3 linked regions of the Cricetulus griseus genome follow. The protein of the gene in region 2 interacts with the protein of the main gene of each other region in a biochemical or structural test. Links are inferred from orthologs where the notes say so. Each region holds a gene or a part of one and is shown on either strand. Other genes may lie near its edges.

Region 1 (4,107 bases), on a different chromosome or scaffold from region 2:
GGAGACAGAAAGGAAGGGTGGTAACTCCTGCCATTCCATAAACACAGAAGGGGTGGTCAGGAGCTGAATATTCAGGGGTTCCATTGAAGCACACAGTTTAGTGGGAAGACAAATACTAAATAATAGCTGCCAACACTTTTATTTAGGTATTGAGGATTATTCTAAACCAGTAAATGTTCACAGCTTTAGGAAGTATACTGTATTTTTATTCCCAGTTCTCAAATAAGGTAACTGAGGCTCAGAAAGATTGAATTGCCTAAGGTCAACGAGTTGTCCTGAAATCGAGCTAGGTGGTATGATCCAGGAGTTCTCGATAATGTGTGCTAGCACTCACACCTGAAAATGTATCATTACAAAATTTCATAAAGTGCCATAAAAGTAAGAAAATGAGTATGCTTTCATCTACTCCTGCTTTTAGCCACCAATGCACAAAGCCTTTTTTTTTTTTTTATAAAAAGACATCCTCACTTTTATCTTTCATTACTGATCTAGGAGAGAACATTTATCTCTACGATTGGAAAGCATCACACAGCCAGCAAGACAGCTCTGCGAGTAAAGGCTATTGCACTATGCCTGACGACCAGAGAGTCACATCCCCCGTGGTGAAGAGAACCAACTCCCCAGATTGTTCTCTGACCTCCACACGTGCGCTGTGGCACCCAGAATGCCACACACATACGGAATAAATAAAAGAAAGAAAGAAAAGCAAGCAAACAACTTGCCCCCCCCCCACCTCACCCCTCTTGGTTTCCCTGATAAAACGGTGGCTGAAGGTTATTTTGTTTTGTTTTGTTTTTTTCTAATGATGCCCTTGATTCTCGCACCAGTCTAGAATGTCGGCACCCTGAGGGAAGGCTGCTAGCAGCTGGCTCTGCACAGTTTGAGGGCATCTCCCGAGTATACAGTCTAGCACAAGATCTTTGACCTTGGCATTTTCTTGGTTCAGGCTGCAGGTTTGGGACCCACGTGTGGGGCCTCTCCCCAGACCTCGGTGGTCCAGACCCTCCAAAACTCAAAATAACACTTTCGCACACTCGTTCCTTAGCTCTTGCAGGGTCTTCCCGGGAGGATCCCACAGCGTGAACCTTTCCGTTCGCTCGGTCCGAGTAGGCGGGTCGGGGACGGGACCCCCGCGTTCCCAGCCCCCTGCCGCAGGGGGCCCAGTTCGGGCGGCTCCCGGGGTGGGGCGGGGCCGGCGGCGGAAGGCCCCTCCCCGGGGCGGGGCGGGGCCAGCGGGGGGGGCGGGGCCGGCGGGCGGGCGGGCGCGGGGGTCCCTCCCTCCCTCGCTCTCTCCGGTAAAGTCTCGCGGTGCTGCCGGGCTCAGCCCCGTCTCCTCCTCTTGCTCCCTCGGCCGGGCGGCGGTGACTGTGCACCGACGTCGGCGCGGGCTGCACCGCCGCGTCCGCCCGCCCGCCTGCCCGCCCTCCAGTATGGCCACCACCGCCACCTGCACCCGCTTCACCGACGACTACCAGCTTTTCGAGGAGCTCGGCAAGTACGGCCCACCCGCCTCACGCGGCGGCCCCCCTCACCCTAGCCCAGACGCCCGGGCGCTATGCGGCTTCTCGCCCCGCCCCCCCGGCCCTGCACCGGCCGCTGCAGCGCCCCCTCGACCCGCCCCACCCCCAGCTTTTCCCGCGTGCTGCCTCGGGGTCCCTTGGCCCTCGGTTCCCTGTCCCGCAGTCCCCTCTGCTCCCTGCAGCAGCTGCCGGGCTGCTGCACCCGGCGCTGCCGCGGGAACTGCAGCCCCAGGACTGCTCCAGGGCGCCTTCCAGCCCCGCCCCTCCCGCACCCTTCAGACGCTCCCCTCTCTCGACCCCGCCTGCCCACCGCCCCCTCCCCACCCGGCTCCCGAGCCCACTCTGTATCTGGTCTCCCCAGTTCCCACGCGCCTGGCACTCAGGACCCTCCCCAGCTCTGCAGCTCCAGCCCCGCTGCGGTGCTCGGGTGTGGGGAGATGGTTAGTGCCGGGCCCCGCCCCCCGCTAGTGCCGCTTCCAGGATCCCAGCCTTGCTGCTGGGCAGTGCTGCGGCACCCCCGGCCCCTCCCCCCATCCCTGCAGTGGTCCCGGGAGCTGTGCGCCGCAGCCGCAGCATCCCCCTCCCCTCCGCACTGAACTGGCCGCCGCCGCCGCCGCCGCCGCAGCCTGGGTCCCCGCCACCCCCACCCACGGTGCGGAGCCTGGCCACTGCAGCCCCCGCTCTGCCCACCCCCTGGATATTTACAGAGCCCGAGATCGCAGCCCATTTGGCGGGTCATGCAGAGGAAAAATAGCTTGGGGAAGGGGAGTTACTGCTGTCAGACTCAGAACTGTCCTTCTATTTCCCTGCTGTCAGCCGAGCGGGGATGCTGTGGGTTTAAGCCAGTTTAGCGGGTCTTGAGCCTCACTTTGCCCAGGCTTAAGGGAAAATTCCTCAGGAAATCATACCTTCTGTTTAATCTACCCTTCCCTTATTCTTAATGATTTCTGTTGAGAGAAAGAGCAATGTCTCCCTGTTCCCTCGATCTCCTGGTTGCCTTTGCTGGGACCGCAAGGCTATCAGTGAGATGCAGCAGGTGTGTATTTGAAGCACCGCCCACCAGGAGTGTGGACAGTCTGAGGTTGGGGCTGTTGCTTTCTTTGCCCAAGAACTTAGATGACATGGTGGGAGCCAGGTGGTACTCCACCCACATCGTTTAGTGCCATGGGGTGGTCTCATCATTCTTGTGTTAGCCATTGGTTGTCAATACAAGTCTGGTGGTGGGAGCATCTCTGTCCTCATCTGAAGTATGTATGTCTGTGTCACTTTGGTTGGTTCCATGTCCCAGTTCTTTCCCCCTCTTCCCTCCAGGGGTGCCTTCTCAGTGGTCCGAAGGTGTGTGAAGAAAACATCTACGCAGGAATATGCAGCAAAAATCATCAATACCAAGAAGTTGTCAGCCCGAGGTGAGTGTTCCCTATCTGGTCCTCACCTTGAGGATCCTTCCAAAGATAGGTCTTCTGCAGATGCCCTAGGAGTTGGGGGAGTATGTGTTTTAGCACTTGGAGATTAGTTGGAATTTCAAGGTGGGTGGATTTTTGAAGCCAGACAAGGAGGTGTGAGGGAATTGGAAGTGCTCAGGAGAAGAAGGAAAAAAGTGATGCGGATGGCTGGAATGGCCGCCAAAGGATTGAGGAGGTTCAAGTTCTTAGTGGAAAATTGGTGGTAGGTGGTATGGAATGAAAAGCTCTTAATTTAGGGTATGTAGAGCCCCCCCTCTTTAGGGCAGTGATGGCCACGACATGCTTGTCCTAGCCTTGTGCCCTGGTGGTAACTTGGTATGGGAATGCAGTAAATGAGCAGTTCTGATGAATCTAGCCTCCCCTGCCCACCAGGAGGCAGAACAGACTCCCAAGGGAAGGGAATCTGTAAACATCAGGGGAGGCTGCTACTGGCGAGGGCTTCTGGGGAACAAATCCTACCAGATGAACTTGATTGCTTTTTTTGATCAAATTACAAAGTTGGTGATGAAGCAGCAGATGTAGTCTGCCCTGAGCAGAGGGTGATGATGCCTCATGGTCTAGAAACCCCAGTGGTGTGGTCTGTCTGTCTGGTCTGAGAGAGCCGCAGTGCCTCAGTGTGTGAGGAGCCTACCGCCCAAGGCCCTGGAGCCTCACTTGGGAGATTCTACTGAGTACCTAGGACTGGGAAGCCAGGGCCTGTCTTTAACACTTCGAATGTACAGTTTTGAAGCTGGTATTGGGTGCTTGCCAAGCTTACCTCATCTGATAGGTGTAGACCCAGCAGTGTGTGAAGTGAGAGGTGACTGGTTAATACAGGGGCCAGGTCCTGGAGAGCTTCAGGGAGTACCACAGGGACAAAGGTTATGCGACTCAGAGAAAGGAATTAGGGCTGGGCAATAGGATGCTCATAAATATATTAGGAGCCAGGACAGATGCCCTGGGGAAGATGTGGTCTTTGGCCAATAATGACTTGGGTATCACTAGGGCAAGATAATAGATGTCCCAAGCACCCAGAAGCTCTGAAATTCCACAGAGATGACAGTGGACTTCTGTTGTGTTGGCAGTTGTTCTGGGACCTGTTCCATGGGGCTGTGTCTGCCTCCTGGCCTGGGTGTCTTTCCCTA
Region 2 (4,218 bases):
TAGTCCCAGAACTCAGGAGACTGAGGCAAGCAGATAATCTGATTTTTGAGGCCAGCCTAGTCTACACAGAGAGTTTTAACTAAAGCTATATAGAGAGGCCCTGACTCAAAAAATGAAAATAAATCTTTTTTTTTTTTTTTAGCTCTTCTAGTGCTTCAGTTAGCAAAAGTTGCAAATGAAAAAAAAAAAAATCTTTAAAGAAATATATAAATACCTGGATAGCCAAACCACCAATGGATTCAGTAGTTTCAGTTGACCTGTTGTGACACTGGCCTTATTTGTGTGTGTTTACAGAACTATTTCTAGAGGAACCTACAGAGACATAAAGAACTATGTCCTAAATTGATATAAGTCTGCTGTCTTAGTTTCTTTTCTGTTGCTGGGTTTTTTGTGGGTTTTTTTTTTTGTTTGTTTGTTTTTTGTTTTTTCGAGACAGGGTTTCTCTGTGGCTTTGGAGGCTGCCCTGGAACTAGCTCTTGTAGACCAGGCTGGTCTCGAACTCACAGAGATCCTCCTGTCTCTGCCTCCTGAGTGCTGGGATTAAAGGCGTGCACCACCAATGCCCGGCTTTCTGTTGCTGTTTTAAGACCCCATGACTAAGGCAACTTATAAAAGAAATGTTTATTTTATGGTTTACAGTTTCAGAGGGCTAGAGTCCATGATGGCACTGAAGTGACAAGGCAAGAGCTCACATCTTAATCCACTAGTTGGGAGTCAGAAAGAGAGGGACACTGGGAATAATATGAGTCTTTTGAAACCTCAAAGCCTACCCCCAGTAACACACCTCCTCCAATAAGTCAACCCCTCCTAATTCTTGCCAGTTCCACCAGCTGGAAACCAAGTATTCAGATATATGAGCCTGTAGGGGCCATTCTCACTCAAACCACCACCACATCTGTATAACACAGTTCTTTATCTGACCAAAAATTGAGCCATTCTGATCTGAGAATAATAGTGCATGCCTGTAATTCCAGGTCATCCTTAGCTAGTAGTAAGTTTAAAGTTAACTTACATGAGCCTGTCTCAAAACAGCAAAAAAGCTAATATCCAGTATCCAGTCACATATGAGTTTTCCAGAAACAGTACTTGGATCCTTCCCAAATTCTATATGTTGTATTTGGTTCTCTCTAGCATCTAAGATTTTCTCTCCCCTTCCCACTGGTAATCAGTTTTCCATAACTACATACATGAAGTAACTTATAAAGGAAACAAGTTTGGAGGCTGGAGAGATGGCCAGCAATTAAGAACATGTACTGTTCTTCTAGAAGACCTGAGTTTGGTTCCCAGCACCCATATCAGATAGCTCAGGACCACCTGTAACTCCAGTTCCAGAGGATCCAACACCCTCTTCTTGCCTCTACAGGCACTTAGCACACCATGTGGCATACACACATACATATAAATAAAAAATAAATTGGGTTTTGTTTTGATTTGCTTTTTTTTTTTTTTTTTTTTAGAAGGGGGCTGCAGAGATGACTCAGCAGTGTAAAGTACTTGTTCCTCTTGCGGAGGACCAAGGTTTGATTACTAGCATCTCCATGGTGGCTCACAAGCATCCATAACTCTAGTTCCAGGGGACCTGATGCCCTCTTCTGGCTTCTACAGGCACCAGGCATGCCTGTGATGCATAGGCATACATGCTGGCAAAATTCATAAAATAAATCTTTTTTAAAATCTTTGAAATAGATTAATTTTGGCTTACTGCTTTGGAGGTTTTGGTCCATTGTAATTGGTAGTGCTGTTTTGAGTCCTGTGGTGAAGTAGCACATTGCTACAAGAGTATATAGCAGAGGGGAAAAAAAAGGATTAAGACCAGCCAGGGTTACAGTCCATGCTTCAAGTGCATGTTCTTGAAGAGCTCCCATTAGACACCCCCCTGTCGCTCCACTTGGAAGAATAAGCCTTTGACACTTGGACTTTAGGAATGTTTTCAGATCCAGGCTATAGCCCCTACCCTTGTACATCTTAATTCTGACCTAATCCCCCCACCAAAAAAAAAAAAAATCCCAGAGGGTCCCACCATGTGGTGGTTCCTTGTCCACAGGAGGTTAGTCTAAAGGCCCAAATAAGCTCAGGTTTGAGGGGTTTGCCCAGGAGTGGTGTGTGTGCTGTGACACTTAACCTGTAGGTAGGGTACCTATTTGTCCACTGATGCTGATGCTTAGCCTAGTCCCCAGGTCAAAATAGTAATACTCATTTTCTCTACTGAAAGGATCCTGGGGAATCTTCATCATCCATCCTTCCAGGGGTTTGTGTCATCCCAGGATGCTGGGTAAGCGAAGTGAAGTTCTATAAAGTGATATGGCTGTGTCTGGGGCCTCTGCCTCCTGTTGGCCCTGTGCCCAGAGTGTACTTTGTCATCTCAGAGAGACCACTGGTCTTAGATCTTAGCCATTGGAAGCTCTTTCCCAGGACTGCCTCAGGATTTTCTGCTTCAGTCTCTTTCTCTGGTGGGATGCCCACCCCTACTGGAGCCCAGACATAACTGTGGGTGGTGTCCTAATGAATCCTCATCAGAGAGCCTAGGCTCTTGAACTGTCGAATTGTTTGCTTCTTCATTTGTTTGTTTTGGCTGCTTGAGTCAAGGTCTTACTGTCTCTGTGGCCTAGGCTGGCTTTGAACTCACTGTATAGCCTGGGCTGCCTCAGACTTAGTCCCTAGTGCTGGGATTGTACACCTGTGCCACCATGCCCAGCTCAGCAAATCACCTTGCTCAAGTGTGGTGGTTGCTTTTCTTCCTCATCTACACTTAGCAGTTGAGGAGTAATCTAGGAGAATATCCTAAAGACTTCCAGCTACAGATAAAAATACTGCTCCCTTGGCAAGGGTTGCTGTTGCCTCCAATAAAAAGGCCTAGGCCCATCCCAGACCACAGCAGCTCCTACTGTTCTCAGTTCATTCTTAGGAGTGGCTTTGCCAACCTGATGACTAAAAAGATGATGTGACTACCCAAGACCAAGACGAAGCCACTGGTCCATGTCAGTCAGTTTCTCATCTGTTCACATGGCAATCCCTTTGGGACTGCTCTGTGCACATGTAAACTCTCCCTTGGCCTGTCTCCAATGATCTTCCAGACTCTTTGGTCTGCCATTTTCACAAGTGAAAGAACTGAGTGTTTCAGAGAGATGGAGTGACCCATCAGGGTGATAAGGCTCAAAGATCCTCCCCAAGCTATGGCCTCACCACAAATGAACCTCAGCATGGCAAGCCACATCTGTCTGAGGTGGCCATGGTATCTGAATTCAGCCATATTCAGAGTAAGCAGGTGCTTTTGAGTCTGACTGGCTTTCCTGGTGGCCAGGCCACTAGAGTGAAAGACACCAAGCTGCTAACATTTCAGTCCCTTTGAGATTTTTGTGAATTTTTATGTATGTGTGGATGTATGTATGTATGTGAGGGTGTAGGATCCCCTGGAACTGGAGTTACAGGTACGTGTAAGCTGCCACGTCGGGGCTGGGAATTGAACCCAGGACCTTTGAAAGAACAACCAGTACTCTTAATTGCTGAGCCATCTTTCCAGCCCCACTCTGACATTCTTGACTTATCTGTGCCTGGCCACTGGCTGTCTGTAGGACACCATCTGTGAATACTGGACTAGCTCCCAATGAACTTTCTGGAACCCCAGCTGTGCTAGGAAGGCACAGTGTGGCTGGACACCACCTGTGAATACTGGACTAGCTCCCAATGAACTTTCTGGAACCCCAGCTGTGCTAGGAAGGCACAGTGTGGCTGGAGGAAGATGAAGTTTAAGACCTCTGAGGCCTTCCACCACATATATCCAACTGCTATTTCTGGACTGTTATCCCTCCAGCCTTGGTTACTATGTCTACACAATGGGAATAACAAATCACAGCTAAATGAGATTGCCTCAGAGATTAGATGACACATAGGAACACACTCACCTACATTTATTTTCTCCCGTCATCTTGCCTTTGACAAAAGTGTCTGGCACACAGTTACTTAGTATGGCTCAGTGAAATAGATGGATGAAGTCACAGAACAGAGCAGAGGCCCTGAAGCAAGAGGGCTGTGGTGTAAGCAGGGCTGGGGATGCTGATGGACAGCTGTATTAGTTACTTTTTTCATTGCTGTGACAAGATACATGACAAGAAACAACTGAGGGAAGGAAGGGTTTGTTTTGGCTTGCAGGCTGAGAATATATCTTGTGGTAAGGAGGCATGGCTTCCAACATGTGAGGCAGCTGGTCATGCTGCACCA
Region 3 (3,941 bases), about 20 Mb from region 2:
CTCCAGCAGAGTGCTCAGGCCCCTGATGTCAGTGGCACAGTGGGAAACTGACCCTGTTCTGGCAGCACAGACTTGAAAGAGTACCCTGGGCAAGGAACAATGCTTGCTTAGCAGCTGGTAGGCATTGTGTTCAACCCCTGCATTGCATGAAAACAAAATTTAAAGATGGGCATCCAGAAGGAACGAGAATGGCTCCCTGCCTGTCCCCAGAGGGCAGGTTCCAGATAGCGATGTCCAGGCAAATGGACTAGAGCAAGGAACCAGTCTCACCATTCCTCCTCCATCAAATGGGAGTGTGACAGTTCCAATGTGCTGGGAACGAGAAGTCATGTACTTGGCCAGTGTCCTCGTTATTACTTTTCAGGGGCCTAAGGCTGGGCCACAGTAAACGGGACATTAAGAGTCTCCTCCCAGCCTGCCCTCACTTTTGGATCCAGCATCCTCTTGCAGCTCCGGCTGTGGCTAGAGCAAACAAGGAGAACTCCGAGCTGGCCGGGTCACGGCCGCCCAGCGTCAGGCCTTATGAATGACGCCGAACGGCGCCCGGCGACCTCTGACCCGCGGCGCCAGTCGGCCCCTCCCCCGCTGGCAGGTGGACAAGCCTCTGCGCCGGCCCGCCGTGGCGTCAACCTCCGCTGGCCCGTGGCCGCTGCCGCACTGGGCAGGGCGGGAGACTGCAGGGCTCACGGTGCCGCACCGGCGTCCGCTGGGGCCGCCTCCCGCACCTTGCAGCGTCTGCCGCCCGGCTACCCTCCAGCCGCCGCCCCGCCCGCACGCCTGCCCCCCCGGGCCGCAGCCTGCGCAGCTACCCCGCCCTCTCACCCTGGGATTGACACTGACTGAGGCCGCGCGCCTCAGCCAATCGGCGGCCTCGCAGGGCGAGCCCCAAGCCCTGTTGGGCTTCTCGGCCAATCACATGCATCCGACCGCCCGACTACGGCCTCGCGAGCCCGTGAGTGGCTGAGCGTCTGCAGCTCGCGTCAAGCATCCGGGAGCCTATGGTAGCGCGGGAAGGTTTCGGAGGGCCAATGGACAACGGCGCGAGGCTGTCTGTCAGGGAGGCCTGAACCAATGGGCGGCGGGGTGCGGGGGCGTCACGGACAGAGGACTTGGGCTGAGGCTCCCCCGCGGGCGGGCGCAGAGAGACGCGGGAAGCAGGGGCTGGGCGGGGGTCGTGGCGCCGCAGCCAGCGCAGCCAGCCCCAGGGGCCGCCGCCTCCGCTGCCCAGCACGCTCCGGGGACGCCGGCCGCCTTAGCACCCGCCGCGCCGCAGCTCCGGGACCGGTCCCGGCCGCGACGCCGCCGCGATGGGCAACGCCGCCGCCGCCAAGAAGGGCAGCGAGCAGGAGAGCGGTGAGTTCCCGGCCGTCACCCTAGTCCCGGCTGCTGCGGCCTGCCCTCGCTCTGGCCATCGCTGCATGGCCCCTCCCCCATGTGCCCCCCCATCCTGTCCGCCTGCACCCCTGCCTGCTGCCTGCTGCCTGTCCACGCTGGGGTCCGAGCACCGCAGAGGAACCTTGCCCCTGGTAGGGCTCCCGTGCCCATGGCCGACCATCCCCCACGTTAAAGGCCGTGCACCCCCACCCAGCTGTCACTGCCAACCATTGCATGCATGACCGCCGGGGCCCCAGATGGGGCCCTGTCACCACCCCACCCCCTCCTCTCCTAGTCCCTTTCCCCATATTCTAATCCCCCCACACTTCGTCACTCACCTTTTCCACACAGCGCCCCAATGCCTGACCCTGATCCAGCCTCCTGCCAATCTCGGGAGTGCTGTGGGGTCCACTCTGCAGGGACCTTAGCTACTTGGTGACCACACCCCTCCCCCTCCAGCCCCCGCCATCTTTCTCCTATCCCTGCTCGATTCTCCCATCTCCAAGCCCCCTTGCCCCATGAGCGTTTCCCAGGACCACCTCCTGCATTGTTTTCCCCTTTCTGTGTCACTTGGCATGGGGAACAAGATCTTTCTGGGTCCCTCTGCCCCTCTCATCCTGTCACTCTGCCTCCTCCATGTAAGCGTCTGGCCCTGGCTGGGGTGGGCAGACTGTTTATGAACCTAGAGAGCTGCTTCTGCGCTTCCAGATCCAAGTTCTAGCTGGTCTCGCTCAGAGCCATTGCGTCTGTCCTCTTTCTTGGGTTGCGGGTGGGGGAAATCGGCAGAGCACCCTCCCATCTCCTGGCCTGCCCTAAGCTCTGGGTTCCTTGGAAGGCCCCTCAATAAATGGTCGTTTCACAACTGCAGTTCTGTCATTCACCCAGTCCCTGGGACTGTTTCGCTCTGCCTGGTTCAAGGCTGAGAATGAAATGTGTTAGCAAGGGCTCATTCGACTTGAATTGGGATGGTCAGAAAGGAATTGCAAGGGTAGGGTAACGACACCCAGCAAAAGGTGACAGCTAATGATTTGGTTTGTTGAGGACAGATGGATACTGTGCATACCCTGGACTCATCCAAAGGGAGGTGTGTTCTACTCCCCCCTTCCCCACCCCAAACATGCTGAATTTTTCCAGCCAGGTAAAGAAACTGATTCTGTATTTGAAATGCCTTCAGAAGGACCTTGTGCCTGTTCCCAATGCTCTCACCTCTTAAAGTGGTGTAATTCTAAGCTAAAGCAGATCCCCTTCAGTTACCCAGAAATAGTCAGACCCACCAAAAGGGGGGAGGGGCTGTGACCAGCTCTGCCCTTCTCAGTGTTTGAGTCCCCAGAATGCCACCGAAGCCCAAGAACTTTCTGCCCCTCCCCCCTTTCAAACAGCGGGGCAGTCTAAAGAGGCCTGGCATGTCACTGATGGGCGGGGGACGGAGAGGCAAGTGCTTGTAGTTGAGGGCTTGATGACAGGAGCAGGTGGGTAGTGCCCAAAAAGGTCTTGGACTTGAGCTTGGAGGGGCCCAGGCAGAAGGGGAGGGCCATCCCCCTTGGCAGGTGAGGCCCACCAGGAGGTAGATGGTTCTGGCAGTGGGGTGTATATTGCAGTAGCCTTTTGAAAACTGAGGGGACATAGTGCTGAAAAAGCTTCAAGCATATCAGACACATTCAGCAGAAACTAAGAGCTACAGAGGATAAAGGGGTCCAAGAAAAAGATCAGTCTCCGAGTTGGCCAGCTGTTTTTGTTGGGATGAAATCCAGCTACTGTTTATCAGGCATCCAAGAGGGCTAACTTAAATGGGCTCTGTAGACAGACTTATTTTGATGACTTTTGTCCAAATGAGCCATCTGAGTTTGACACAGATGACATCATGCAGCAGAATTCACACCCAGATCTGTCTACCCAAAGATCTCTTGGACCCCAGAATGTTTCAACTTAGACATTCTTTTGTTTGTTTTAGCTTTTGAGACAAGGGTCTCTCTGTGTAGCTCCAGCTGACCCAGAACTCTTTCTGTAGATCAGGCTGGCCTCAAACTCATAGAGATTTGCTTGTCTCTGCTTCCCAAGTGCTGGGATTAAAGGCGTGCATCACCATGTCCAGCCTTCATTCATTCTTAAGCTGCCTCCACAGGAGTTAAACCCTAGCCATACTTTCTTAATTTAAAATGATAAAAACATACTGTGAATAATAGTGTATATTGGTGCTACCAGCGATTCAAGAGGCTGAGGCAGGATTGTTTGAGCCCAGGAATTAAAGGCTGGATTGGGTGACAGCAGAACCTTGTATCAAAATACAGATAAAATCTGTGTTCATCAAGATGGCCTAGCAGGTAAAGATGTTTGCTGCCAAGCATGCCAGTCTTGAGTTGTTTTCCTGGGACCTACATGGTGGAAGGGGAAAACTTAACTCCTACAAGTTGTCCTCTGACCTCCATAAGAGTGTGTGTGCACACACCATAAATGTAAAAAATTTAAAATATCAAACAGGCACAGCAACTCATAACTTTATCAAGCAAAAGAGGAACTGTGAGGCTGAAGGACCTGAGTTTGAAGCCAACCTGGGCTGCTATAAAGGA

The links. The genes of interacting proteins can lie anywhere in the genome.
Region 1: of the proteins of Rrad (region 2) and Camk2g, one has a biochemical effect on the other in vitro, tested with the Homo sapiens proteins (2 studies listed by BioGRID, with this or other methods). The link is inferred for Cricetulus griseus from reciprocal best matches to the Homo sapiens genes RRAD and CAMK2G.
Region 3: of the proteins of Rrad (region 2) and Prkaca, one has a biochemical effect on the other in vitro, tested with the Homo sapiens proteins (2 studies listed by BioGRID). The link is inferred for Cricetulus griseus from reciprocal best matches to the Homo sapiens genes RRAD and PRKACA.

Annotation. Positions count from the first base shown.
Region 1 is NW_023276807.1:200,185,887-200,189,993, forward strand, and holds the start of Camk2g (calcium/calmodulin-dependent protein kinase type II subunit gamma), read left to right. Parts: upstream 1-1,307; 5' UTR 1,308-1,430; coding exon 1,431-1,495; intron 1,496-2,831; coding exon 2,832-2,926; intron 2,927-4,107.
Region 2 is NC_048596.1:180,903,060-180,907,277, reverse strand, and holds the start of Rrad (GTP-binding protein RAD), read left to right. Parts: upstream 1-1,418; 5' UTR 1,419-2,272; intron 2,273-4,218. UniProt on the Homo sapiens protein: May regulate basal voltage-dependent L-type Ca(2+) currents and be required for beta-adrenergic augmentation of Ca(2+) influx in cardiomyocytes, thereby regulating increases in heart rate and contractile force.
Region 3 is NC_048596.1:160,443,328-160,447,268, reverse strand, and holds the start of Prkaca (cAMP-dependent protein kinase catalytic subunit alpha), read left to right. Parts: upstream 1-1,141; 5' UTR 1,142-1,307; coding exon 1,308-1,353; intron 1,354-3,941.